Linked DNA regions of Canis lupus familiaris. The protein of the gene in region 1 purifies or fractionates together with the protein of each later gene. This does not show direct contact. Links are inferred from orthologs where the notes say so. Each region holds a gene or a part of one and is shown on either strand. Other genes may lie near its edges.

The links.
Region 2: the proteins of MPHOSPH6 (region 1) and C1D purify together in Homo sapiens (co-immunoprecipitation; 3 studies listed by BioGRID and IntAct, counting the BioPlex papers as one, with this or other methods). This does not show direct contact. The link is inferred for Canis lupus familiaris from reciprocal best matches to the Homo sapiens genes MPHOSPH6 and C1D.
Region 3: the proteins of MPHOSPH6 (region 1) and EXOSC4 purify together in Homo sapiens (affinity purification with mass spectrometry; 7 studies listed by BioGRID and IntAct, with this or other methods). This does not show direct contact. The link is inferred for Canis lupus familiaris from reciprocal best matches to the Homo sapiens genes MPHOSPH6 and EXOSC4.
Region 4: the proteins of MPHOSPH6 (region 1) and EXOSC8 purify together in Homo sapiens (affinity purification with mass spectrometry; 4 studies listed by BioGRID and IntAct, counting the BioPlex papers as one, with this or other methods). This does not show direct contact. The link is inferred for Canis lupus familiaris from reciprocal best matches to the Homo sapiens genes MPHOSPH6 and EXOSC8.
Region 5: the proteins of MPHOSPH6 (region 1) and EXOSC1 purify together in Homo sapiens (affinity purification with mass spectrometry; 5 studies listed by BioGRID and IntAct, counting the BioPlex papers as one, with this or other methods). This does not show direct contact. The link is inferred for Canis lupus familiaris from reciprocal best matches to the Homo sapiens genes MPHOSPH6 and EXOSC1.
Region 6: the proteins of MPHOSPH6 (region 1) and EXOSC6 purify together in Homo sapiens (affinity purification with mass spectrometry; 3 studies listed by BioGRID and IntAct, with this or other methods). This does not show direct contact. The link is inferred for Canis lupus familiaris from reciprocal best matches to the Homo sapiens genes MPHOSPH6 and EXOSC6.
Region 7: the proteins of MPHOSPH6 (region 1) and DIS3L purify together in Homo sapiens (affinity purification with mass spectrometry; 3 studies listed by BioGRID and IntAct, with this or other methods). This does not show direct contact. The link is inferred for Canis lupus familiaris from reciprocal best matches to the Homo sapiens genes MPHOSPH6 and DIS3L.

The regions. Positions count from the first base shown.
Region 1 is NC_049226.1:70,386,757-70,391,069, reverse strand, and holds the start of MPHOSPH6 (M-phase phosphoprotein 6), read right to left. Parts: upstream 2,935-4,313; 5' UTR 2,854-2,934; coding exon 2,803-2,853; intron 2,423-2,802; exon of another isoform or gene 2,275-2,422; intron 1-2,274. UniProt on the Homo sapiens protein: RNA-binding protein that associates with the RNA exosome complex. Involved in the 3'-processing of the 7S pre-RNA to the mature 5.8S rRNA and play a role in recruiting the RNA exosome complex to pre-rRNA; this function may include C1D.
Region 2 is NC_049231.1:68,473,353-68,477,632, forward strand, and holds the start of C1D (nuclear nucleic acid-binding protein C1D), read right to left. Parts: upstream 2,831-4,280; 5' UTR 2,735-2,830; intron 2,566-2,734; exon of another isoform or gene 2,424-2,565; intron 1-2,423. UniProt on the Homo sapiens protein: Plays a role in the recruitment of the RNA exosome complex to pre-rRNA to mediate the 3'-5' end processing of the 5.8S rRNA; this function may include MPHOSPH6.
Region 3 is NC_049234.1:38,326,132-38,329,948, forward strand, and holds EXOSC4 (exosome complex component RRP41), read left to right. Parts: upstream 1-1,333; 5' UTR 1,334-1,556; coding exon 1,557-1,727; intron 1,728-1,787; exon of another isoform or gene 1,788-1,975; coding exon of another isoform or gene 1,976-2,038; exon of another isoform or gene 2,039-2,417; intron 2,418-2,589; coding exon 2,590-2,796; intron 2,797-2,909; coding exon 2,910-3,269; 3' UTR 3,270-3,311; downstream 3,312-3,817. UniProt on the Homo sapiens protein: Non-catalytic component of the RNA exosome complex which has 3'->5' exoribonuclease activity and participates in a multitude of cellular RNA processing and degradation events.
Region 4 is NC_049246.1:3,769,796-3,774,244, reverse strand, and holds the start of EXOSC8 (exosome complex component RRP43), read left to right. Parts: upstream 1-1,587; coding exon 1,588-1,613; intron 1,614-2,645; exon of another isoform or gene 2,646-3,169; intron 3,170-3,307; coding exon of another isoform or gene 3,308-3,380; exon of another isoform or gene 3,381-3,448; intron 3,449-3,981; exon of another isoform or gene 3,982-4,435; intron 4,436-4,449. Other genes in the region: ALG5 (dolichyl-phosphate beta-glucosyltransferase), read right to left, coding at 1,000-1,046, 1,432-1,603, 3,308-3,373. UniProt on the Homo sapiens protein: Non-catalytic component of the RNA exosome complex which has 3'->5' exoribonuclease activity and participates in a multitude of cellular RNA processing and degradation events.
Region 5 is NC_049249.1:10,913,024-10,916,679, reverse strand, and holds the end of EXOSC1 (exosome complex component CSL4), read left to right. Parts: intron 1-377; coding exon 378-428; intron 429-557; coding exon 558-642; intron 643-951; coding exon 952-1,058; 3' UTR 1,059-3,396; downstream 3,397-3,656. UniProt on the Homo sapiens protein: Non-catalytic component of the RNA exosome complex which has 3'->5' exoribonuclease activity and participates in a multitude of cellular RNA processing and degradation events.
Region 6 is NC_049226.1:76,859,439-76,862,636, forward strand, and holds EXOSC6 (exosome complex component MTR3), read right to left. Parts: upstream 1,921-3,198; coding exon 1,102-1,920; 3' UTR 608-1,101; downstream 1-607. UniProt on the Homo sapiens protein: Non-catalytic component of the RNA exosome complex which has 3'->5' exoribonuclease activity and participates in a multitude of cellular RNA processing and degradation events.
Region 7 is NC_049251.1:31,052,652-31,056,307, reverse strand, and holds part of DIS3L (DIS3-like exonuclease 1), read right to left. Parts: intron 2,980-3,656; coding exon 2,803-2,979; intron 1,485-2,802; coding exon 1,406-1,484; intron 305-1,405; coding exon 125-304; intron 1-124. UniProt on the Homo sapiens protein: Catalytic component of the RNA exosome complex which has 3'->5' exoribonuclease activity and participates in a multitude of cellular RNA processing and degradation events.

The DNA.
Region 1 (4,313 bases):
ATCTAAGAGCCTTATAAGCACTGGCTTTTTGTTCATTAATGCTTCTTTTGTGTCTCCCAAAAGACAGAGATTCTGAATAGTAGACCATGTCTCTTATTCATTTTTTATTACTAGTACTTGGGCTGTAGCTGGTATACAAGAAGAGTTCAATAAAGGTTCTCTGAATGTAACTCCAGACTTATTTTCCCAGACTCTCTTTCTTGGATGGTTCTCTTTAAACTCAGATGCTTTGGGGGCACCTGGGTGGCTCAGTGGTTAAGCATCTGCCTTTGGAGGTTGTGATCCCGGGGTTCTGGGATTGAGTCCCACATCCGGCTCCCCACAGGGAGCCTGCTTCTCCCTCTGCCTATGTCTCTGCCTCTCTGTGTGTGTCTCATGAATAAATAAATAAAATCTTAAAAAAAAAAAAAAAAAAAGCTTAGTGATTTGACTTTACTCACAAGTGAGAGCCTACAGCAGGCATCACAAATTACAATTCTGGGCTAGATAACAATTCTTGTAAATAAAGTTTTATTGGAACAAAGATCTGTTCATTTGGTTCTGAGCTACAATGGCAGGGGTGAGTAGGTACAATACTAACTGGCCCACAAGCCTGAAGTATTTATTATCTGTCCTCTTAGAGAAAAAGTTTACCAACTCCTATCTTAAGAGCCCAAAGGAGCTAACATCACAAATAAGCGCCCTCTTTACAATCATTTCATCATGCTGACAGGAATACCACCTATATCTTTCACTTTCTACTCCCATCAGGATCACCTTCCAGTCCCTAACAGGTGACCAAGTCGGAGGATTTCAGGTACACTTCAAAACAAATGTATTAGTATTAAATCCTCTACTCTCTTCATTCTTGCTCTACACTGAACTCTGGCTGAACAGTTACACTGGATACAGCAACCTAATGCAGCTGTTCCATTCATTCTCATGGGACACTCCACTCTATCTGTATGTATGGTATCTCTTGCTATCCTACCAATAAGTTCTTTATTATAACTGAAGCTGCTGACCCAACTAGAAAATCTGTGTCATAGTCCCCCCCTCTCCTTTGCTTCCAAGTCCTGTTGAGTCTTCTCCAACCACTGGGGTAGGAGTTGATACTTTTTTTATGGTATTTTCTTCCTTTCTAACTCTTGAGTCAGCTCTTTGGTCAGAGGTGTAATCACTCAGGACATCTTCAGTTGATGTGCCTGCTTTGCCAATCCACTCTACCTCTCGGATTGCAAACTCAGAGTCAGAAGAAGCCTCTGTGGGGTAAAAATGCAAATTTTGCTATTAATATGTAGGAAAAAAGAACTTTAGAAACTATAAATTATGATTTACCCTCCACCCTCACTCACCCTATTCATCCCTAGTTACACCCTCGCTGAACTCCAAATCTGGCACATGCAACATGTACTCTCCAATCTTTCAAAACATTATTTATGCCTTGCTTCCTTTTTTTTCTGGAAATTATTCTCTAAACACGACATCTTACACTGTGCTGACAGCGACAAGCAGTTAAGAGCAGGGGCTTTGGAGCAAGACTGCCTGAGTTTGGTTCTGTCTATACAACTTGTTAGCTGTGTAACTTCAGGCAAGTTAGCTACTTCTCTTTCGGGGCTTCAGCTGTAGGAGAGCAGTAATAACTGCATCTACCTCGCAGAGTCACTACATGGATTCTACGGGCGGCTATAGGCAAAGCACGTAGAACAGCTGTCTGGCACATAGCAGAAACTATAAATGTTTACTATTATTATTCAAGCTTTTAAGGCCTGGTTGTTTCCCCTGTTTTAATCCTATATTCCTTTTACGTGCCCTTGCCTTTTTGTTTTTCCACTTTGAAATTATTTGTTAAATGAGTTCAATTTTGGGGCGCCTGGGGGGGGTTCAGCGGTTGAGCTTCTTGCCTTTGGCTCAGGTCAGGATTCCAGGGGTCCTGGGACCGAGTCCCGCATCCGGCTCCCTGCAGGGATCCTGCTTCTCTTTCTCTCTCTGTGTCTCATGAATAAATAAAATCTTAAAAAAAAAAATGGATTCAATTTCGAATTTAAATAATCAATTTTGCTGAAAGTCGAAGATATTCACCTCAACTGTTCTAATTCTGTTCCCATTGCCATTGCGACCAGATCAAAACTTCTAGCTCGTTTTTGTTTTTTTTCCCCCACCAGGGCATTCTCCATAGGGCAGCTAAGGGAACTTTGAAAAGTAAGCACAGCTAAGATGCTCAATAGCTTCTCCGTGTTCACATAGAGAAAAAAATAATAATAATAATTCTTCCTCTGGCCTAAAACTGCTCACCTATGTGGCCACTGGCTGCTGGTTCAGGCCCACTTCTTGCTACTTGCCTTCCAGACACAACGGCTGATCTTTAGTTCTTGGGAATCCCAGCGGCTTTCCCGAGGTTTGCGTCCCAGAGCCGTGCACCCGGTTTTCCCTGGGTCTCCGCGGCCCTGCGCCCCGCCTCCCACCTGCCCTCCCTCTCTCCTCCTCCCCTCCCCCCCCCACCCCCCACCCCCCACCCAAGGGCCTCTCCCGCGGAAGCCAAGTAAGCTCCCGGCGCTCCGGGCACCGCTCAGCGCCGCGGCATCCTACCCGCTGCCGCCGCTCTCCTATCCCGCCGCGGGCTTTAAGAGCGAACCCGCCGGACTCAGAATCCCGTTCCCAGGGCCCGAACCAGACCAAGCGCTAAGTGAATGAATGAATGTCCGAGCTGGAGGCCCTCCGCGGCCGCCCCGGTGCCCCCGCGCGTCTGCAGCCCCGGCCCCGGCCAGGTGTGGAAGCTCAGGTACCCCCGTCGCCCAGCGCGCCTCCCCGCCGTCCCCGCACCTTCATGCGCAGCAGGTTCTTGGACAGTTTCGTCTTGCGCTCGGCCGCCATGTTGGCGCCTGCTCGGGGCCGCGCTCCACCCCCAGCCCCCGCCGCGCACGCGCACGCGCACACGCACACGCACGCCCGCGCACGCGCACTGCCGCGTGCGTCCCGGCGGCGGCGTCTCCCGCAGCTGGCGTCGTCGCACCGCGTGGCTTCGCCCTCGCCTGGGCGCGTCCCGGGAGGCGCTGTCCTCCTCGAGGAGCTGCGGGTGAGGACGCGGCTGTCCGCCAGGGGCGAGGGCGACTGGACGCAGGAGGCAAACGTCTACAGAGGCCTCAGTCGGAGGAGGCCCGAATTTTGCGCCCCGAGAGCGCCGTGGTGAGTGTCGCCGCGCGTCACCGAGGCGGTGGGAGCTGGTGAGACGCTCGCCGCCCGTCCTGGCCACGCCGCGGCTGTGGCGCGTCTGCGTCGCGGACGGCGGGCTTCCCGGGCCGCGCACCACGGTCAGCGCCACAGCCCCTCCTGCGTTGAGGTCACTGAGGCGTGGGGAGGCTGCCGGGCTGGCCCGGGAGCGGTGGGGGGAGGGGAGGCGGGCGGGTGCTGACCCAGGCAGTCTGGGAAACTGTGCACCGTTTGCAGCTGTGCAGGTAGGTCCCTGAGCCTGGATGAGCGTCCCGTGAGACAGCCCAAACCCAACTCGCAGGTGCGAGGCCCGGCAGCCACCTGTGCCAAGGGCTGGGGATGAGTGAGGGAGGGACTGGCGGGGCTAGGTAGGGAGAGATGGAGAGGGGGCCGCGGAGGCAGGCTCACAAAGTCCCCAGAATGCTGAGATGTAAGGAAACCAGACCTACGGGCACAGACCAGACCACCCTGCCCCCGGATATGGGTGGAAAACACACACACACACACACACACACCTGTGACCGGTAAAGAATAACCAGACCCAAAAGGAAGTCATTAAAGATGTTATCAGCAGACTTAAACCAGGACGTCTCAGGGAGGATAAGGCCACAATCTCCCTGGTCAGTTCTCAATAAAAGACTTGTCAGTGGAGGCCCAGTTGGCAACCCCATGAGGACCCCTCTCCTGAGAGTTTCTCTGCATCCTTGCTTAATAAACTTCCACTGCTTTTACTCTCTCTTGTCCGTGAGACTCATTCTTCTGCTCCGGGAGACAAGAACCCAGCTCTTGCTTCAGGGCCGCACGGCCCCCCCGGACGGTGAGGTCCACACCGTTCCCCGGAAAGCACCCGGCCGGCGGGCGGTGCCAGCGGCTTGCCTGTCCCACACAGCTTTCTTTCCTTTCCCTTTTCCTTTCTCTTTCCCTTTCCCTTCTTTTTCTTTTTCTTTTTTTTTAGATTTTATTTATTCATGAAAGAGAGAGAGGCAGAGACACAGGCAGAGGGAGAAGCAGGCTCCATGCAGGGATGAAGAGAGGCTTGTTTTGGCCTCCCATGAATCTGTTAGCGATAACGCAATTTCTCCCCTTCTTGAGGCGGTACCCTAAGATCCAATTAAAGGTTAGCT
Region 2 (4,280 bases), on another chromosome or scaffold:
AGTATAATCTCACTGAATTATTACAACACCTTCCTATTTAGTCTCTTGGCTTTTGCCTACCACACTCTCCAACAATCTATTCTTAACATAGCAGCCAAAGTGATACTGTTAAAAAGCTAAATCAGGTCCTGACACCCCTCTGCCCAGAGCATTCCACTGGTTACTTATCCTCTATGCTGTTCCTTCAAGGCAAGACTTACTCTGCATGACATTTGCATCTGCACATGACTAATGTAAGGTCTTCCCACATATTAGGTACATGTAACTGTTTGCTACCTGTCCAAAACCAAAGAAAGCAAACTGGGGACAAACCTTGGGGAATCTTAATATGAGATCAGTCTGTACTTAAAGATATTAGGAAGTCACCACATAGATCCAAAACAAAAATATACCATAATGTACATTCTAGGGCTACTTCCACTCCTATGCTAAGTAGAGTTACATATGATTATGAACTAAGCCAGAAAAACAATGCAATTTATAATTTTTTTGGAACTAGAGGGACATCTGCAGATGCTGCACTAGATTTCTATTACCATAATGACCTCTTTGTACTGCATTATCTTAGAAAATAATGGTGAAAAGTACACACAACAGTCTATCAATAATGTTGCTCCTTTAGCAGACAGTCCGTGTCGATGCCACCTATAATTCTCCTTCAAACTTACAGTAAAATCCCTAAGATTGACTTTTTCCTTTTAAAGGTGCTGACCTCCAAAAAAGCCAAATTTATCCCAAAGTCCAATAACAGAAGATCTAAATCACAAAAGGTCGTTCAAAATTGAGATGAATAACTACATCAAATTACACAATGAATGTACTTCTATTATTAATGCTAGTGTTTACCTCAAAGCGTTTTCAAAATTACAGTTATGAAGCGGCAAAACTACCTTCCAGAACCGGGGAATTTGCTTACTACAATAGTCTCATCTCTAAAATAATAACAGTATATAGGGCTATCGTAAAAGTGAAATGAATAATATTGGTAAAGCTTTTAGAACAGTGCTTGGCTCAATTACCAGTCAGTACATTTGCAGGTAGCAACAGTTTACTAATTTACTAGAGTGAAAAGGATCAAATATCCTGATCCAATGTAGACCATTCAAAACCATATTGTGGGGATCCCTGGGTGGCTCAGCAGTTGGGCGCCTGCCTTTGTCCCAGGGCGTGACCCCTGGGTCCCGGGATCCAGTCCCACCTCCCACCTCCCGCTCCCTGCATGGAGCCTGCTTCTCCCTCTGCCTGTGTCTCTGCCTCTCTCTCTATCATGAATGAATGAATGAATGAATAAATAAATAAATAAACCCATATTGAAAAAAAAAAAAAAAACATATGGAAGGCCCAAGTGCTTGGAATCGGTGGCTGAGACAACTGTAAGGAACCGCTTGAGAGCGTCCTCTGAGTGGGACGCAGACAGCGCCAGCACCTGAAGGCCGCTACAGCATCCCGTGGCACCTTGGGGGAGCCCCGCGATGGAGCCCCGGGATGGAGCCCCGGTATGGAGCCCCTGCGATGGGAGTCCCAGGATGGAGTCCGGTGACAGAGCCCCGGTGATGGAGCCCCGCGATGGAGCCCCGGGATGGAGCCCCCGCGATGGGCGCCCCGCGATGGAGCCCCTGGGATGGAGCCCCGGGACGCAGCCCCCGTGATGGAACCTCGCGATGGGGCCCCGGGATGGAGCCCCGGGATGGGCGTCCCAGAATGGAGCCCCGGGATGCAGCCCCGGGATGGAGTCCGGTGACGGAGCCCCGGTGATGGAGCCCCTGGGATGGAGCCCCGGGATGGGCGCCCCGGGATGCAGCCCCGGGATGGGAGCCCCACGATGGAGCCCCGGGATGGGCGTCCCAGGATGGAGCCCCGGGATGCAGCCCCGGGATGGAGTCCGTGACGGAGCCCCGGTGATGGAGCCCCTGGGATGGAGCCCCGGGATGGGCGCCCCGGGATGCAGCCCCGGGATGGGAGCCCCACGATGGAGCCCCGGAATGGAGCCCCGGGATGGGCGTCCCAGGATGGAGCCCCGGGATGCAGCCCCGGGATGGAGTCCGGTGACGGAGCCCCGGTGATGGAGCCCCCGCGATGGGCGCCCCGCGATGGGGCCCCGGGATGCAGCCCCGCCCGCACGCCCGTTATTCCATCTTTCAACCAAACAGCAGCCGCAAGCGGCTTCCCGAGTCTCAGCAGGAGATGCCTGCCCGACTCCTGGGACCCGGCGTCGTCAGGACACAGGGACTCCCGGCCCGACACAGGATCAGGCCGCCCAGAGCTCGCTGGCGGGGCAGACACCTGCGTCCCGCAGACACGGGGTCGCGGCCAACAGAGGCGCGTTCAAGGCACCTGAACCTCGGCCGAGGCACCTCGACCTCCGGAGGCGTGAAAATACATCAACCAGGTGACCTCGTGGACGTCACGGGCGCGGCGTTCGCTCTGGCCCTGGGGCCCTGACAGCTGTGACGTCACTTCAGGGCTCCTCCCCCTGCCGAGGTGCCCGAGGAGCTGACCAGGGAGAAACGGCAGACAAACCAGCAAACCACCTGCAGGCTGGATGGAGAGTGGGGAGGGGCCCAGGTGAGCCCGGGGAGGGGGCGCCGGTGAGGGGCCCAGGTGAGCGGGGGGGGGGGGGGTGCGGGCGCTCCTGGCGGCCAGCCGGCGTGTGAAAGCCGCGGGGGCTCCCCGAGGGGGCGAACTTGTGCAGAAACACGAGAGAAACTCCCGCCCCAGCTCCGAACGGCCGTACCTCGCGGGCCTCCGGCGCCGGCCTCCGGGAAGAGCAGTCGGGCGGCGGTGACGTCAAAGAGGCGCCGGCGGCGCGGGCGGCGGGGGCGGGGCGGGCGGCGCCGCGTGGTGACGTCAGGCGGCTCGCCCCGCCCCGCGCCGGCTCAGGGGCGCCCCTGCGGGCGGCGGGCGGGGGCTGCGGGGGCTGCGGGGTCAGCGGGGTCAGCGGGGGCGGGGCGGGCCCGGGCAGCAGGAAGCCGCGTGAGCCGCCGGGCCCCGTTCGCGCGCGGTTTGCCCCCGCGGCCTCCGCCTGCACCGCGTCGGGGCCGGGTCTCCGTGGGCCGCAGCCCGCCTTCCGGGGCCGGGAGGGCTCGCGGCTCCGCGCCGACTCCCGCTCGGGCCGCGCGGCGAGGCGAGGACCCCGAGACGAGGCAGAGCGCGGCAGGCGCCCTCGGTCCTTCCTTACCGTGTCCCTGCGCGAAAACTCGGGCTTCGACACGCGCAGTGGGGCTGCGGCGGGAAGCGCTGCTCGCCGGCAGCCACCTGCTGTCCTCGCCTCTCGCTCGGCGCCTTCGCCTGCCTCGGCCTCGGCGTCGGCCTCGGCACCGGGGTCAGCAGGGGTCACCCGGGGTCAGCAGGTGTCACCCAGGGTCAGCAAGCGTCTGCACCCGGGGTCAGCAGGTGTCACCCGGAGTCAGCACGCGTTGGCACCCAGGGTCAGCAGGTGTCAGCGCCCGGGGTCAGCAGGGGTCACCCGGGGTCAGCAGGTGTTACCCGGGGTCAGCAGGTGTCACCCGGAGTCAGCACGCGTTGGCACCCGGGGTCAGCAGGTGTCAGCACCCGGGGTCAGCAGGTGTCAGCACCCGGGGTCAGCAGGTGTCACCCGGGGTCAGCCGCGGTCTGCAAGCACCTGCTTTCTTGTGATGAATTCGTAGGCCGGCAGGTGCCTACCGCCGTTCAGGCCACGTCATCTCATTGCCCGGGCATTTTGCCATTTCGTGGCGCCACCAGAAGGGCCAGCGCAGCCCAGTAGGGTATTTTGAGAGACCGTATTTACATAGCTTTCATTACAATATATTGTTATAAGGGCGCCCGGGTGGCTCGGGTGGCTCGGGTGGCTCAGGGGGTTAAGCATCTGCCTTGGGCTCAGGTCATGATCCCACGGTTATGGGATCAAGCCCCGTATGGTCATGGGATCGAGCCCGCATTGATGGGATTGAGCCCCACATCGATGGGATTGAGCCCCATGTGGTTATGGCATCGAGCCCTGCATCGATGGGATCGAGCCCCGCCTCTATGGGATCGAGCCCTGCATCGGTGGGATTGAGCCCCACGTGGTTATGGGATCGAGCCCCGCATTGGGCTCCCTGCTCAGCGAGGGAACCTGCTTCTCCCTCTCCCTCTGCTACTCCTCGTGCTTCTGCTCTCTTGCTCTCTGTCAATTAAATAAATAAAATCTTTTTTTTAATTTAAAAATATTATAATTGTGCTAATGCTGCTAATCTCTTAGTGTGGCTAGTTTACAGATTGAACTGTTTTTTTCTTTTTAAAGATTTTATTTATTTATT
Region 3 (3,817 bases), on another chromosome or scaffold:
CAACGTGGGATTCGATCCCGGGTTTCCAGGATCGCGCCCTGGGCCAAAGGCAGGCGCTAAACCACTGCGCCACCCAGGGATCCCTTCATTCACCCGTTTTTTTTTTTTTTTTTAATTTTATTTATTTATTTACGATAGTCACAGAGAGAGAGAGAGAGAGGCAGAGACACAGGCAGAGAGAGAAGCAGGCTCCATGCACTGGGAGCCCGACGTGGGATTCGATCCCGGGTCTCCAGGATCGCGCCCTGAGCCAAAGGCAGGCGCCAAACCGCTGCGCCACCCAGGGATCCCGATTCACCCGTTTTATTGCACAGTGGGAGCTGGCGGGAAAGGGGGGGCACACAGCCTGTGCACATCCCCAGGCCCCGGGCGGCACCTCCCCGACGCTCAGCCCTTTGGCTCCGCTTCCCACATTCGCCCTTGAAGCCCGGGCTCAGCAGAGCGGCCAAATAAGGCAGCTGGTGCGGGGCATGAGCATCCTGTCCGGGCGGACCGGGACGGGGAAGGGGATGGAGACTGGGATGGGGACGGGGACAGGACGTAGACGGGGTGGGGGGGGACGGGGACGGGGACGGGTCGGGGGGAGGGGAGCGACAGGGACGGGGACGGAGGGGCGGGGGACGTGGACCGGAACGAGGACGGGGACCGAGTGGGGGTAGGGGGACGACGGGGACCGGGACGAGGACGGGGACGGGGACGGGGAGGCGGGCGGGGGGGGGGGTTTGGTCGGGGGCGGTTCCACGGCGCTGGGCCGCCAGGAGGTGTCGGAACACGAGTCAGGACGGGGTAGGACGCCCGCGACGGCCACTCCTCGGAATCCCGCGGGGTTCTAGCCCGGCCCCGCGCGCCCTCGCCCCCGCACCCGGGCAGCAGCGGGGGAGCATCTGGGCGCGTCCACTCCGCGGGCGCCGAGCGGCCAACCGGAAACTAGTGGGCGTTCCCCAGGGTTATTGGGGCAGATTTCTCAAGGTCTTTTTTGAGTGAAAACCATTAAAGTGTATAAAATGCTCTCATTAAAATAACCGGAGTTCCCAATGCCACGCGGCTGTACAACCGCGTGTGCTCCCGATCCGTCTGCGGTTAGCGTGAGCGGAGAAGAGCAGACGGGAGCACTAGAGGGTGCGGGGGGAGGGATGGGGGGCGCGCGGGGCGCTGAGTAGGGCGTCAGGGGGCGCGGGCAGCGCAGGCGGGGGAGGGGCAGGGGGCGGGGCGGGACGCAGGCCGGAGCCCGCCCCCCCCCCCCCCCCCGAGACCCGGCGCAGGCGCGTGCGGCGTGACCCCGGGAGGCCCGGGGGCGTCAGAACCGCCCTGCGACAAGCCCGAGGGGGCGCGGCCGGCGAGTCTCCCCGCATCCGGTCTCCGCCTCTGGCAGCCGTGGGACAGCTCCCCAAACGGCCGCGGGCGCCGCCTGCCCCCGGGGAAACCGTAGTTCCCCGGGCCGGAAGTGGGTGTCGGACCGCCGGAAGCCGTAGGCCCCCAGAAAGCCGGAAGTGGGGTCGGAGCCGTCGGGAAGTGTAGTTTCGCGGGAGTCGCAAGCGCGGCCAGCCGCCGGAGACATGGCGGGCCTGGAGCTCCTGTCGGACCAGGGCTACCGGGTGGACGGACGGCGCGCCGGGGAGCTGCGCAAGATCCAGGCGCGGATGGGCGTGTTCGCGCAGGCCGACGGCTCGGCCTACATCGAGCAAGGCAACACCAAGGCGCTGGCGGTGGTCTACGGGCCGCACGAGGCGAGTGGGCGCGCGCGGGCGGGGCGGGCGGGGCTTGGGTTCCCCGGCGCTGGGGGTACCTGACCTCGTCCTCCCGGGGACGCCTTCCCGACCGCCTTCCTCTCCTGGGGAGCCCCTCCCCTGCCTTTCCGAAGCCCGTGGGCTCCGCGTTCGACTTCTCGGGAGCGGAGCGTCAACTCCATGAGCGGAGGGACTGTAGCTAAACCCACCTGCTGCTACTGCCTGGCGTCCACGCCGGAGCGGGGAGGATGGCTGGGGCACGTAGCGGGGCGCGTTCGCAGCGGCGGAGATGGGGAGCAACTCGGAACGAGGTTTGGGGGGCTCTAGGGAGGCAGGAACCCGCCGCGCTGTAGGCCAGGGACACGACTTAGGATTTCACGGGTGATGGGGAAGCTTTAGGAGGCGTCAGGACATTGACGCAGCGAAAGTGTATAGGAGATGACATCAACCGGGATATTTTTTTTTAAGCTTTTATTTATTTACTCATGATAGAGAGAAGCAGAAACACAGGCAGAGGGAGAAGCAGGCTCCCTGCAGGACCTCGGGGTCACACCCTGAGCCAAAGGCAGACACGCTCAACTGCTGAGCCACCCTGGCATCCCGAGCCTGGATATTTGTGAACACACCTGCTCTGGCCACGGATGGAGAATGGGTTAGCAGGGGACGAGGCAGGGATGGAAACAAGGAGGCCTGTTAAGAGAAGTAATATCAGACATGATGACTTGGAGACTGGCCAACTGGCCCTCCGATGGAGGTCCTCCTGCTTGCTTATGGAGATGCCGGAAGTAGAGGGAGGGTGACGGGAAGGCGTAGTGTCAGCTGTGGAGGGGTGAGCCTGACTCATGTGTCCTTCCTCCCCCAGATCCGGGGCTCCCGGGCTCGAGCCCTGCCAGACAGGGCCCTGGTGAACTGTCAGTATAGCTCTGCGACCTTCAGCACAGGCGAACGCAAGCGACGACCGCATGGGGACCGAAAGTCTTGCGAGATGGGCCTGCACCTACGTCAGACATTTGAGGCAGCCATCCTAACACAGCTGCACCCACGTTCCCAGATAGATATATATGTGCAGGTGAGCAAGCAGCAGCCATCAACCCAGGAAGGGAGGGGGAAGGAAGGGGAAGCAAGGATGGGAGTCGGGGGACAAGAGCCTAATGGACCGATGCCACTGGGCGGTACTTGCAGGTGCTGCAGGCAGATGGTGGGACCTACGCAGCTTGTGTGAATGCAGCCACGCTGGCAGTGCTGGATGCGGGAATACCCATGCGGGACTTTGTGTGTGCCTGCTCAGCTGGCTTTGTGGACAACACAGCCCTGGCGGACCTCAGCCATGTGGAAGAGGCAGCTGGTGGCCCCCAGCTGGCCCTGGCCTTGCTGCCGGCCTCAGGCCAGATTGCACTGCTTGAAATGGATGCTCGGCTACATGAGGACCACCTGGAACAGGTGCTAGAGGCGGCTGCCCGGGCTGCCCGTGATGTGCACACTGTGCTGGACCGTGTGGTTCGGCAGCATGTACGCGAGGCCTCTATTTTGCTGGGGGACTGAGCATCTGGCCCCCCATGCCCAGAATAAAACTCACATACAATCTGCTATACTTTAATTTCCCCACAGCACTTGCACACCCTCAGATCCTGGCCTGGTGCTTGCTCTGGGAGGTGACTAGGAACCGTCCCCATCCCCCGCACATGACATACCTTTTCCAGCTTCAAGACCCAAACCCTGAAGAGGAAGGTCGGGGAGCCTGTCTGCGGATGAACAGCCATCGTGCTAGGAAAGGTTCAGGCAGCTGAGCAGTGAGGCAGGGCCTGGCATAACGAGCCAAGCTGTGAGACGAAGGCAGTTCTCAGACCAGCACATCCACAGCCCACATCCTCTGGACTATGGCTTGGACTGCATGGCCCCCTCCACCCTGGGAGCCCTTTGGGCCTCCCTAGCCTTAGGCTCGGAAAGCACAACAAATGTTCTCCCCTGGGGTGGTGCGGAGGGGTGGGGAGTCTTCACACATATCTGCGGCGCTGCCTGAGCCCTCACCCGGGCACCTCCTGATCTGAATAGGATTCCCCACTTTCTAGTCCACATACCCCAGGTCTTGA
Region 4 (4,449 bases), on another chromosome or scaffold:
CAAAAATAAAACACCACAATTTGGCATAAGTGGCATCAAGAATTCTGATAAAATTGTAAGGAGTTTAAATAACAATTGTTTTAGTGTGATGCATATTAACATGAATATAAATAAGTATGCAAACCACATAAAATAAAAAGGCCAACAACTAAAAGGAGGAGAGTGGTGGGACAGGAGGAGAGGGCAAACACCGACTCTTGCTCCCCCCTTGACTGCCTACCCACACCGAATCTGTGGAGTAGCCAGGTGCTTGTGGTGCTGAGCACTTATGAGAGAGGATACAAATATGTATGAGAAAAAAAAGCCCATGAGGTTAGAATGTGCAATTCTAATCTGGCCACACTATTTCTAACTTATGATATTGGATGAGTTAGAGTTTTAGCCTGTTTTCTCATTTAAAAACCCCCGCCAGACCAAAAAAAAAAAAAAAAAAAAAAAAAAACGGACCAGCCACAAAGCTCATTTTGTTTCCTTAAACTCTCCAAGAAGATTCCAGCAGCAGCTGATGATACAAAACAAGGACACATACTATTTTTCTTCTATTTATGCAGGGAAAGTAGAGAAAATAAATGAGCGGAACTCCTCTGAATAATAAAGAAAAACAATTTCACTCTAAGTCTTTTTCAAATAAATGTTTTAAAAAGTCACTAAAGTAAAAACAGCATCGTGTTGCCACACAGTCTGCAGACATACTTAATTTTAAATATATCATCAGGCAAGAGCATACAAAGTGGTTGGGAGGGTACATAAGAAATTTCTGCTTTCCGTTTGTTCTGGGTTCACCCACCTGCGTGCGTCTGGAGGTAGCGTGTCATGTGCTGGGCTTGCATGCTAACCCGTGATGGAAGGGGACAAGCTGAGCACAGGAGGCCCTGGTGACCTCGACGGCTTGGGCATGGCTGGCACTGCCTCTCTCAACAGATCTAGCCTGGGATCTCTAAATTGGTGATTTAGTCTAGTTTTAACTAGGGACATCATATTGAAAGAGAAATATGGTACCTGTCTCTTTTCCAGATAGCCCAAAGCTTCATCCATCATTACAGGCACTTAAAGAAAAAAAAATACATCTCTGAAAAATTGTTTTCGAAAATGATTTGCCAAGCCCCCACTCAGTTTACATATGGAAAAAGTCTGAATAGTCTAACAGAGCCCTCTCGGACCTCTTCCAGTGGCCCTTCCCAACTAGAAGGCCTGTTTTCTGTCCACAACTAGCTTAATGTCTCTCTAGAACACTTCAGTCCTATGACTTCATGATGCTGACCGTATTCTTTATAGCTGGCATTTGTTTCCACTCTCATGAACTACAACTACCAACTATGCACTCATCAGAGCCCACATCTACTAATGTTCTCACAAAGATAGTAAAGTTCATACTTTAAATTTCCTTTTCTTCCCAATGGCCCCATATCCCAAAAATGAAATTGGGCTTACACCGTTTTTCTTCATTGTATGAAGGCACAACAACGGAGAGCTGTTTGGTAGGCGAGTCCCATACGCTGGGCAAAGTTTCCTTCTGTCCTTTGGCATTTAAGAAGAACTTCTCCTCTTCATGTTGATGGAGATGTGGCATTTTTGTAGCAGTTATAAATGCAACAAAGGAAATCTAAAAGTAGGTATGTTAACAAGAAACTATATTATGTAAGATTACATCATTTATGTGATTTTTATTGTTGTTGTTAAATGTTCACTCTCAGTTTTTAGTCCATTAAGAATGGTCTGGAGGTGACACCAAATTCAAATCCCTTACTTATGAACTAATAATTGTCCTTCTTCCATTGGTAGGAACTAATGCCTTAGGAGCTGTGTCTTCCCACCTGTCATCCCTAGGCCTCTGTCATCCCAGATTTAATAGGGAATAGTCACCAGAGAAGTGCAATCCATTTTAAGATGCCCTGAATCTCCAACCCCTGGCTAATGATGACAACATTCATTTAGCATTGTTTTAAAGATCGCACAACATAAAACATTGAATACAATACCCCCAAATTATAAGTCCTCTATAAATGTTAGCTTTTTAAAAAATTATTTTATTTTCATTTATTCATGAGACAAAGAGAAAGGCAGAGAGACATAAGCAGAGGGAGAAGCTGCCTCCCTGCGGGAAGCCCAATGTGGGACTCGATCCCAGGACCCCGAGATCACGACCTGAGCCCAAGACAGATGCTCAACTGCTGAACCACCCAGGTGCCCTAAATAGTAGCTCTTATAATCACAAGCTGGTAGGATCAAATACTTCCAGTTCATCCTCAAAATGCACCCATTTAATTCTATAAAACAGATAGATCAAATAAACAGAGTCAATTTAGGATTCTGTCAAAACTCTGCCCCCACCAAAAACCTGAGAAAACCTTGAAATCTCCATCTACCCCTAACGGAGAGAGAGGACTCCTTTCTGACCCCGACACAAATCACCGAAGAAGTCAGGACACGTTGCTTTTTCTCTATAAGTTATTTCTAAACTGTGAAGTGTGCAAACCCGGCAAGGCGGAAGAACGGCCTTCCCAGCAGTGCTGTCAGGGGGGCTAATCTGGGTGTCAAGGAAGCTGGAACCTCTCCACGTACTAACTGGATGGCAGGCTCGTTCCAAATTATAAGGGAGAAAGCTCACTTGGCAAACCATTACTAATGAATCAGCAAGTGCTTACAATGTTTGTTTCCAGAGTGATGGCAAAGAAAATCCGAGTCTCAATTCTACTGTGCCCTCCTTTAGAGGCAGCGAATTTAGGGTGTTTAATCCCGGGTCATAGGGACTGCCAGACAACGGTAACAGCAGGCCTGCGTGCCTCGGCCTTACTGTGTCCCTCCTGGGTCTTCTTGATCCACTGATTCACCCCAATCTCTAGCAGATGGCTCTCGTCAAAGCTGTCACCACCTTCTAGTTGCTTCCCCGCATCAGGAGGGTCAGTCCAGGGAGCGCAAACCTCCTGGGGGGGCTCGAGACCTTCCCGGGTGCAGCCGGAACTGCACAGGCTGCAGATGCAGGAGGAAGGGGTGGAGAGGTCGGGACTGACAGGGCAGAGGTCGGGGGCGGCGGGGCCGGTGGAGGCTGACGGGGGCGCACGTCCCCCGGGGAACCAACGTTACAAGGGCCTGGCCGCAGAGGGAGGTAACGCTCCAAAATAAAGACAAAGAAGGGAAGAAAGGGGCTGTGAAGTTCTAGGAGAGGAAATCCTGGTCAAGTTTCGGGGGAGAGCGTGGGGGGAAAGGGACGCGTCGAAGCGTGCGGGGCAGAGGACAGGCTGCGTGGCGGCCGAGTCTCTGAGAGGACGGAGCCCAGGCCCGCGTCGGTCCCCAGCCCTCTGCTCACCAGCGTCAGGGCGGCGGCCGCCAGCGCCACGCCGAGCACAGCCAGCTGCAGCAGGAGCGCAATCATCGTCCATACCCGGCTGCCGCGCGCCCTCCCCAGCGCCTACACACACGCGGAAGCGCCGCCGCGCAGCTCCGCCTCCCGCCGGCAGAGCGGCCGAGCCCGCCCGCCGCCCGCCGCCCACAGCGCCCCTCGCGGCCAGGCGGCGCACACGCCGTCCCTGGCGGCCAGGCTCGCGCGCAGAGGCGGGCGCCGGGTTCCCCGCAGGGCTGACAGAACCCGCAGGCACACACAGGATTCCACCCAGTCGGAATTTCAGGTAGGCAGTGAGCGGCTTTTCGACAGCCGTCTTAAGACAGCACTCACGCACCGTGCAATCCACCCATTAAAAAGGTTTTATTGTATTCCATGAGTCTTTAAAAACGGAGACAGCATAAAATTTGCCATTTTAACCATTTTAAGGGTACGATACGGTGGTATTGGTTACATTCACAATTTCCTGCACCCATTATCTATTTCTAAAACATTCTTCGCTCCCAGCCGCCCCCGCCCCCCGCCCCGTAACAACTAATAACATGTACTATTTGGGGTATACTCATAGTGGGGAAAAATTAGCTTGTGTATCTGACATTAAAAATTAATTGGATGTTCTGTATTCCGTCTGGCAAACCTACCTAGGAGGGAGGTGACGGCTTTGAGAACAAACGCAGCCCACGGCACAAGCTGCTCCTCAGGAGCCCCTCCGGGGGCCCGCAGAGTGTACCGCGGGGCGATCACCAGCGCGCACAGAGTTTACGTGATTGCTCAGCAACTGGAGCTCCAGGGAGCCCTTCCCTTGGGGTGAGGCACGCCCAGGGCCCAGCCTGAGACAGAGGCGGGAAAGGACGCAGGAGCTCTGGAATAATGCCCCACACTTAATACTCACTCAATTCCTGGCAATAAGGTCGGCTTTCCCTTAAACTCCTGAGCTAGCATACCGTTTTTCTAAAGAGACACACCCGTCTCTTTCCCAATAGCAGATTCGACAAAACGCGTCCGAGGCCAAGAAGCCTAGAGGCGCGCTGGGCTCCTCCGAGCGGAGGCGGAACGAGAACCCCCTCGCGGCCACCAGCCCTCGGCCTCTGCAGCAGCGGACGAAGGGC
Region 5 (3,656 bases), on another chromosome or scaffold:
CTTTTCCTTTCCTTAGGATTTTTTGTTTGCTCTATTGAGCAGAAGGGGACTACTTTATTCCTTGCCTTTGAAGCCAGGTGTCTATTCTTTGCTATTCCCTCAGATTTACTTTGTATTCTTTCAGAGCCAACTGTAGTAACTTTTATCTAAGATCCGTTACCAGGTTATTGAATTAAAAATTTTTCATTTAAAAAAATAAAAAATAAAAATCTTTCATTTATATGATGTAAAAGCAATAAAAGTTGTTGATTGGCTTCACTAACGATGACTTCCACCCTGTGGAGTTAAAAAGTACACTGGTTCTACCAGAGGGGCAAATAGTTTCATGTAGATTTGATTTAGAGCTTTCACTTAACATTCCTGTTCTTTCTTTACAGGTTGAGATTTATAAGAGTTTCCGCCCTGGTGACATTGTCTTGGCCAAAGTGGTATCCTTTATTCCAGCAGTCTTGTGGTCCTTTGTCAAAACAAGAAATAGAAGTAGAAAATAACTCAAGTGGCTATGGGAGGGAAGACTTATCACCCATTGTTTTCCTTCACCAGTATTGTGTGACTAGATCTCTCTGGGTGATGCACAATCGAACTACCTCCTGACCACTGCTGAGAATGAACTTGGGGTGGTGGTGGCCCACAGTGAATCGGGTGAGTAGGTCCATACATCCACATGCTTCTCTTTCCCTGGGAGCTACAGTTGGGATTAATTCACTGTTTTCTCTTGTTACCCTGGTTTTAAATCTAGAGCGCAATATGAGTGTCAATCACTTACTACTGAGATTAGAATGATTCTCCTTATATAACTGTAAGGGGGGAATTCACTGCATAAGGCTTTTTCTGTATGAGGTGAGGTTCACTAGGTAGTTTGATGAAACTTCAGGTCATAACCAGCTGAAAAGGGAAGGGTCTTAGTAAACATTTGGGGTCCCAGCTCCAACACTAGCTCTTCCCTTCCAGGTGTCCAGATGGTTCCCATTAGCTGGTGTGAGATGCAGTGCCCTAAGACCCACACTAAAGAATTCCGGAAAGTGGCCAGAGTACAGCCTGAATTCTTACAGACCTAAGAAGATTTACCCTACATTTTACCCCATGGAGAGGGGTAAGCCGTTTCTAAGAGTACATACATGTATGAACCCAACATCAAGATGCCATTGTCTTTATTCAAACACCTGTGGTTGGCTAACAACCATCTTTAGAAAAATCTGCCAGCAACTTATACTGTAGGTGGAACATTTTTCTTATGAACCTTTCAGTGGATTTCATTCTCGAGTGATGAATTTTTTTGGAGGCGCCAGCAGACAAACTGTATAATATTGGAAGTAGCCCGATCCTTCTGACAGTCTCACAGATACGTATTTTTGCTGTGACAAAGAAAACGTTTTTACTAAAAGGATTTTATGGCTTCTGTTGTCTTGAGTAGGGAAGGGAATCTAAAAAGCATCATGACATTTAAAGCTGGGGTTTGCCTGGTTGCACCCATTAACTTACATGTCAAGTGCTTGCTTTCTCTGGAAAAGCCTAATCTCCAATCTTTTTTATACTTTTTATGTTCACTTTCAAGCACTTCCACTTACTGAGTACTTTCTATGTGCCAGGCACTAGGTGAAGCACTTTATATACATCTCATTTAAACAGATTACAATTTAGTGAGAATTACATAACACATGGTGATTCAGGGTACATGCAAGTAGTTTGAAAGCAATTAGTTGAACGAACATAGTATTACTGATTTAGTGGGTACCCTAAGAAATGTTTAAATCTGAATTGAAAAGAGGGACAGAGCACTATCATGTGAGGTGACCAAGAAGGATCCGTGATGTGAAGCAAAAGGAACCGAAGAACTTAGATAAATGGAATGAAGGATATGCAAGGCAGACAGTGAAGCAAAGTATAGAAGCAAGAATGAATACACAAGTGTTCATTGAGGATGAGGATGAGGAAGGGATGAGATGAGGGTTAAGCATGGAGAAGCTGCAGAAGGAATGGAAGGAAAGAACTAGATGTCAGTTCTTGAGATGTTCTTCAAGGAGCCTGTATCTTTTATGTGTATTGACAGTGGTTACAGGTAAACTCTGGAGTGTACCTGCCTAGGTTCATATCCTCTAGCTGCTAGCCTTGAATAGGTTAGGTTGGGTTTTTTAGTTTTTGTTTTTTTTTAATAGAAAATTGGATTGGGATCCTTGTAGCTCCCCATGCAGTTTTAAGAAATAATAGAGATTCCTTAGACACTTTGCCCATTTTTTCCCAATGGTGACATTGTGCAAATTACAGTATACCTAAACAATCAGGATGTTGCCATTGATAGTAGTGCAAGTTAACTTTGTTTCTTGTAAGTCTGTTTCCTTGTCTGGAATAGTATGATCTTAGGGTTATTGTGAGGAAGAAATGCATAAGTTACAGTACATGCCAATATCGTTACATGTTACTGTTGTTATTATAGATCTGGTTGCCTTCTATCAAGTATGTTAAATTCCAGGCATTATGTTAAGCAGTCCCCTGATAGATGTTTTAAACTTTACAGATTTTCTTTGATAGACAGTGCTGCAGAGAAAACTCCTATACTGTATATACTTGTGCCTGCCTAGGATTCTGTGGCAAAAGATTCCTAGAAGTGGAATGCCGGGTCAAAGAATGTGTACATTTTAAATTCTGGTTATATTTTTCCCATGTTGCCTTGTAGAAAGATGCTACCACCTGATTCTCCCTACAGTGTTAGCCATTTTAACTTACTCTATCTCTGAACTTCCCAGTAACTCTGAAATGTACTGGTCATTTCTGTCTTTTACAGAGAGGTAAATTAAGGCTTAGAAAAATTAGCTAACTTGCTCTAAGTCACATAGACATCAAGCGGCATAGCATTATTCAAACCTAGGTTTGTCTTACTGTAAAACCCAAATTCTTTCTTTTGCACCATGGTGCCTCCTTTTTCCAAGTATTGACTAGAACCTTGGGCATGCAATTAGAGGCTCTCCAAATTGACAATGGCTCATTAATTATGAGTGCTTGTTGGGACATCATTCATTCAATAAATATACATTGAGCAACTACTATGCCCACCACTTTTCCAGGAAGTAGGAGTTAAAGCAGTGAACATGATAGAACCCTTTCCTTGTCGAGATTACATTCTACTGGGGAAAGACAGGTGATACGTAAATAAAAGTTATAATAAAGTGTCATAAAGAGCATTTGAAACAGGTGGATAATAGCCCTTTCTGATCTACTGCAGAGCAGGTTAGATTTTCTCCATTAACCATTGATACTAGTATTGCAAGTAAATTTATATGCCTGTCTCCCCTACTTGCCTGAGCTTTTAGGGCAGGATTCTGTCTTTGAATTTTCAGTACCTGGTATTGTGACTAAAATATAGCAAAAGCACAATAAAAAAATTTTTGAATGTTCTCATAGCTGACTGAACAATTGTGCCCAGTGATGTTTAGTGAGTATACATGCTAATCTACAACTGGTTCTAGAGACAAGGAGGATATTGTTTCTGTGCCTTGGAATAGTGATTCTCAGTCTGTTAGATGAACTTCAAAATTACCTACGAAGGTTTTTTTTCCCTCCCAGATAATTATGATGCACTACCCTAGCTAAGCAGTCTTGAAGAGATAGTGGTTGTTGGCCTTCTAGCGGTATTGGTAAATAATGCTAGCTTTGTTACT
Region 6 (3,198 bases), about 6.5 Mb from region 1:
TTTCCCAGGAGGCAAGACTGGACCAGGGGCACCAAATAATAAAGCCAACCTGGTGCAGCACCTGGGCTCAGTCGGTTAGGCATCAGATTCTGATTTTGGCTCAGGTCATGATCTCAGGATCATGAGATCAAGCCCAGCATCAGGCTCTGCGCTCAACATGGAGTCTGTGTGGAATTTTCTCTCTTCTTCCCCACTGTCAACCCCCTTGCATGCCTCTAAATTAAAAAAAAAAAAAAAAAAAAGGCAGCCTGGACCCCTACTTCTTAGCAGCAGTGGGGGAGGCCTCTAGCTTCCACCCAGAGCCAAACCCCTTCCACCTACCCAAACCTGAGCTGTGGTCTTGCCCAGCACCAAACCAGAGGCCACAGAGTACACCCAGAGTGCTCCTGGGCCCACACAACCTTCCCTACTGTTGTCACCTTGGCAATGGCCAACTCTGCTACTCTAGGGGCACCTTCACCTCCTTCAAAGCACATTTCCCCACACCAACTCCTGCACCTCCTTTAGTTTCAGCCAGTCTTTTCTGCTTATGTTGGTCTAAGGAACAGGACACATTTAAGACAATGCTGTCCCCAACCCCTTGACACCAGGAGTCGACTACAGGGCACAAAAGAACCTTGTTCTTTTAAATTCACTACCGAGATGAACCACGATAGACTTTTCCAGATATAAAGGAGTTTGTTTTAGCTCAGATGTAAATGAGAAGGCACAGCCCCCTTGTCCATTCTCTCAAAAGCAGCCCAAGTCTATAGAAGGGAGTCACTAGCTGGCCTGCACAGGGTCCATCCCTTACAACAGTTCCAAGTCCCGTCCTCCAGATGAGTCCAGCTGAAGTCCTTCCCAACCTGGGAGGCAAGCTGCATTCGCAAGTTTCTTCACCTGGGTCGTAGCTGGGAAGCACCTGCTCAAGTAGAAACGTTTCTTTAACAGAAGTCTCTCAAGAGCCGTCCCAACACAGCCGTCCGGCGCTGTGCACGCCCCGTCGGATCCTCTCCCGCCCGGAGTTCTCCGCGCCGCGCAGTCTGGCAGCGGACGGCAAGGGTCCTTCGGGGGACGGGGGCAGCTCGGTCCTCGGCGTCCGTGGTCGCTCGGGCTCCCGGCTCAGGACGGCGCGGCGGCGCCCCTCCGACGGGCCGCCCGCACCAGGCACTGCTGCAGCACGGGGTAGAGGCGCTGGCAGCCCTCCAGGCCCAGACGCACCGCCTCGGCCCAGCTCTCGGGCGGGCCGCCCTCCCCGCTGCCCAGCAGCCCGGCCACCTGGTTGAGCACCGGCATGAGCGCCACGGTGAGGCCGGCGGCGGCGCGCTCCTCCTCGAGGCGCGTGGGGTCCAGCAGCCAGGTGGGCGCGGGTTCCGGCGTGCGGCTCAGGCCGCAGCCCACCACCAGGTCGTACATCTCGACCCCCGCGTCGGCCAGGGCGAGCGCGGCGGCCGTGAGCGCGGCGGCCAGCGCCGAGCCGCCGTCCTCGAGCAGCAGCGCCGACACCTCGAGCTGCGCGCGCGGGTAGCGGCCCAGGCGCACCGCCGGCTCGAGCGCCTCCTGCAGGGCCAGCGCCAGCTCGCGCTCCTCCCCGCCGCCCGGGGGCGCGCGGCGCCGGCGGCCGGCGAAGGGCGCGCGGCGGAAGTCGCAGAGCAGGCGGCCGCGCAGCGCGGCCGGGGCCTCGCCGCCCGCTCCGGCCGGGCCGCCGCCGCGCTCGCTGCCCTCAGCCTGGCGCGGGCCGGACACGGCGCACAGCACCTTGGTGCCGCCCGCCTCCAGGTAGGCCGAGCCCTTGGCTTGGCTCAGGAGCCCGGCGCGCGCGTACACGGGCCGCAGCCGCGTCGGGTCGCGGGCCGCGGGCGCCTCGTCCTCGTCGGCCGCGTACAGCTGCGGCGGCTGCGACTCCTCGGGCCCGCGGATTCGGCGGTGGTCCCCGGGCATGGCGGCGCCTGGCGTGCGAGCCGCTTCCGCCCGTCCCCTCGGCCCCGGCGCCGGCGCTTCCGCCCGCTTAAAGCCGCGCGCCCGCGCGAGGGCTGTCGGGATAGCGGCGGCCGGCGCCGCCCCGCCCCCTGCCGTCCCGGAGGAACCACAGCCGAGCCGCGGGGCCGCCGCGGGGCCGCCGGGAGGTCCCTGGCCGAGGGGGTGGGCCGACGGGGGGACCGGGCCGGCCTGCCTGAACGCTAGCCTCTCGGGCCAGCGCAACCCCAGGGCGCACATCTGCGTCCTTTCACTTGTAAAGGTTGAAATTATTTTGCACTTACACGTGTGACCATCTCCTACGTGTTCCCGTCTTGCCCAAGACATGGTCATTCCTCAGTGCCCTGGCAGGAGTAACGCTTGTTGAATGGAACATTCTCTCTCCTGCACTGGATTGTGTACACTCCGTACCCCTAGGAGTCCTCACCTGGCACGTCTTGCTGAACCATGTCCCCCTGCTGCTTCTCACTCCCGGCGAGGACGGGCCCTCACCCCCAGGCTGGTGACCAGAGCAGGTAGCCTCTGCTGCTGCTCGCCTCCTTCCTTGTCAGCGGGACTAGTTAACCTGGGCCCCACTGCCAACTGTTGTACCCAGGGAACACGAAATCAGCCAGAGCTAGCACAAACAAGCAGAACCTTTAACCTCCCCAGCGAACAGTTTCCAAACCCAGCTGTCTTCAGACTTGAGTGAAGGGATTCGGGACCAGGGCAGGTCCCGATCGATCCTATCCATCTTTGGGTCAGGGAACCAGCAATGATGGGTCAAAGGGAAAGGGGTAGTCACCTAATGCACCCTAAGAACACCTCTGATCTCACACCTGACTGCTCAACATCAAAAAGGAGAGGAAGAGGGACACAGGCCTAAGAATGGGAGAGCTTCTCCTATAAAGTGCTTCCAGTAACCCCATGGCCCATCTTCTATTGAATGACTAATGACTCTCTCCATCTCACCCACTCAACTCCCCATCCTATGGGCCACCTTCACCAATGTCTTCAGGTAATCCAGAGGCCATTCCCAAAGTTCAGGAGTTGAGCTGGACTCGATGAGGACCACAACCAGAAGCCAGTTGGGGCCATAGGCTATTACACAGGGGGCTCCTATGAGAGGTGGGGGGTTAAGAGATCACATAGCATCATTGAGTATTGCACATAGTCCTTTTATTCTCTGCAGCAGAGAGGCCTAAAAGAACTCTTATCTACAGACACGAGCATTGTCATGATAAATAGCAATCCTGGGGTAGT
Region 7 (3,656 bases), on another chromosome or scaffold:
AGTAATGGAGGAAAGAAATGATACCGAGCCCCGAGAGCCGTAGTATTTCTGGGTCGTCACAGAGAGGGCTGGGGCACGTCCCACGGGCGCACTGGTGAGTTGGGAGGCCGGCTGGCAGGCTCACCTGTGGGCATGGGCTCACTCGGGGGGTCTCCCGAGGCCTTGTCATCGCTGTCATTCTCACACAGGGCGGCGGTTCTTCCCTTCCATTCATTTTTAGGGAGCAGTTCCACGACTACCACGTCGCCGTGAATGGAGCGGTTTCGAGCCTTCATCCCGTGGATGAGGATGTCACTGACTAAACCTGTGTTTGGGCGGGCACACAGAGACCCCATAAAGCCACGGGGGATGCCACACATCATGAATCTGACGTCTCATCAGCGTCCCTGCAAATAAAAGCTTCCTCCCCCTTCAAAGGTGAAGCCAAACCTCATTCCACAGGTTAGGAATGAGGAAACGCTGTCACCGTGTCCTATGACGTCAGGTGCATGCATGCATTTATTTATTCATTTATTTATTTATTAATTATAGTCACAGAGAGAGAGAGAGAGGCAGAGACACAGGCAGAGGGAGAAGCAGGCTCCATGCACCGGGAGCCCGACGTGGGATTCGATCCCGGGTCTCCAGGATCGCGCCCTGGGCCAAAGGCAGGCGCCAAACCGCTGCGCCACCCAGGGATCCCTCGTCAGGTGCTTTTATAAGGCCTACCTCACCCGTCTCTCACGGTAGGTAATAGGCCCCTGCGTGAGGCTATGTGAGCCCACAGCGTTCCAGGAGGCCACGCAGCCAGGGAGCGGTCGGCAGGCCGAGGAACCACGGACACAGCCAGCTCACGAGCAGCAGCCGGAGAGCCACTGGGTGTTTTCCACCCTGCCATCGAGGCCCTCAGAACTATATTCTATTATGATACAACTTACTTCCACATCTTCTTCATTTTTATCACTTTTACAATTATTCCAGCAAGACCACAAAGGGCAGTGTCTTAAAATCACAGCCAAACTGCCTCAGCAGCAGATCTAGCCCCACCACTCACCAGGTGTGTGAGCTCGGGCAAGTGACTTTGTTTCCCTGTATTACAGTTTCCTCATGTGTAACCTTGTGTATCTTCATGGATAAAAGGTGCAAAATAATGATAGTATCCACGTTAAGTGCTTAGAAAGGTACCTGATGCGTATACAGCAGGTACTCAATAAAATGTAGCTGTTCTCATCTTTAAAAACTGATTGCAATAAAATCAGAAACTATAAACTTCGAGGGGGAAAAAACACCAATCTGTGACCCCACACACCCAGAGTGGGGATACCTGACATGGCATACATGACGGCAGGGTCAGCTTTGCTTTCTTCACCGTGTAATATCAGAATAAAGATGTAGTACAGAAGTTTACGTAAGGCTTATACTGAACCTGAATCTTTGCAGCTGGCTCCTTGAAGTCGAACGAAAGCTTCTATCTGCGCCCTGTGTTTGTTGACATTCAGGATTCCCTACAATCATAATAAAAATCAATAGAAAAATTTCTTTACTGCCCACTTTGCCTCCAAAGGTACAGTTTTCAAAAAGTATATGAAAATAACCCCAAAATATTCTTTTAAGGTCTGTGATCCCTTCCTTTAGGAAAAATACTCATCACCAAGGTCTCTTTTCTCCAGAGAACACACCATCATTTTGAACTATTCTTGGCTATACCAATAAAGGATATTTTACTGAAGTGATGAGTGGTCCTCAAAAAATCTTTTTCCTCAAAATATCCTCCCAGGAATGCTGTAAACTTTACTACCGAGTTGGAAGCATCAGAGTCTCTAGGCATACTCATTTAAGATGCCCATACTTTAGGGGCACCTAGGTGGCTCAGTTGGTTAAATATCCGACTCTTGATTTCATGCTGGGTATGCAGCCTGCTTAAGGTTCTCTCTCTCTACCTATCCCTCCCTAACCCCTACTCCCTTGCTCTCTAAATAAATAATAAATAAATAAAATTAATAATAATAATAATAATACCCACACTTTAGGAGGGACTTTGGCATGCTATTCTCAATGTTTGGCTTGCATGAAAACTGTCTGAGCTGCTTGTCAAAATGTAAAATTCATGATGGAACAGTGCTGTATCTCAATAGTGGTGGTGGATACACAAATCTACTGATGTGATAAAACTGTACACACACAGACACACACGTAAAGCTGTTGAAATCTGATAAATAATCTGATTCCTTATCAACACAGCTTAACAGCTTCTGGGTTCTGGGTCCTGGAGGACTACAAATGACCCCCTTGAAAGAGGCAGAGACACTGCATCTCTCTCTCTTGTGTCTCTCATGAAGAAAGAAAGAAAGAAAGAAAGAAAAGAAAGAAAAGAAAGAAAAGAAAGAAAAGAAAGAAAAGAAAGAAAGAAAGAAAAGAAAGAAAAGAAAGAAAAGAAAGAAAGAAAGAAAGAGGCAGAGACACTGCAAAGGAGCCAAGAAGCCAAATTTCACCAATTTCACAATTTTGTCAAAGGCAAATACCTTGATTCAAAATATAGTCTCTTTCCCAGAGACTGGAGGCATTAGAAGGCTTGTGTGGTGCTCAATATATAACCTGATTAAGAAGATTACAGAGTAGCATCAAACCAGGCAGCAAGGTGTCCATAATTAAATAAGCACGTAGGAAGAAAGACTCTCAAATCATCTGAAACACTGACAGCCCTGGCTTACTCATGCCCATTTTATTTACAGCTTTTGAAATTAAAGGCCTGTGATGGCCAATAAAGCAGAGAAGAAAACATGCGGGCTGGTCCCAACGCTGATGCTTCAGGACAACCCTCACCTGGATGTAGCGTCCCGATTTAATGCCAGCTTCTAACACTTCCAGGGGAAGATGTTCTGCGTACTCCTTCCCGTGGCTCTCCTGACTCTCATTCTCTCTCTCCCGTCGAGACTGAAGGATGGAGTCACAAAGCTCATGGGCGGCCTTTAAGTCAGGCCAAAAGTTGTCCAGGTAATTCTGCATTTAATAAAGGCATTAGAGAAACATGGTCAGAAAGATAGTGGTTTGGGGCACCTGGGTGACTCAGTCAGTTAAGTGTGTGCCTTCGGCTCAGGTCATGATGCCAGGGTCTTGGGATCAAGTCCCACGTTATCGGTCTCTCTGCTCAGTGGGGAGCCTGCTTCTCTGTCTCTCTGCTACTTTCCCTGCTTGTGTGCTATCAAATAAATAAATAAAATCTTAAAAAAAAAAAAAGAAGAAGACAATGGCTCTTCCTTTTGGTAGTCTCACAAAAAGTCCTGGATGGGAATTGCTGGCACACATTTTTGAAGAGCTGTTAAATGAGCATTACCTCCCTGAGGCTCACATTACTGACTAGTTTTTTAACCATCTCACTAATCCCTGAAGCCTTGCCAAGTGAACCCTAGAAAGGCCCTTCCCACCATGGAATGTTTACTTTGCACTTTGAAATCTCCTCCTCTCTCTGCTCGCATGCACACATCCTTGTCCTGCCTGTCTTTACAAGCATCTCATTACTGCAGACAATGGCCTGCGGTGAATGGAGAAAAGAAGCTCTTATGTGTGAATTCTCATCTTGTTTTTTGTTTTTTTTTTTTCATCTTGACATGTTTGAAATTTATAAGAGACTTAAATAAGCATGTAAAAATGGCAAGGAGCAAAGTGTCTATGGAAAT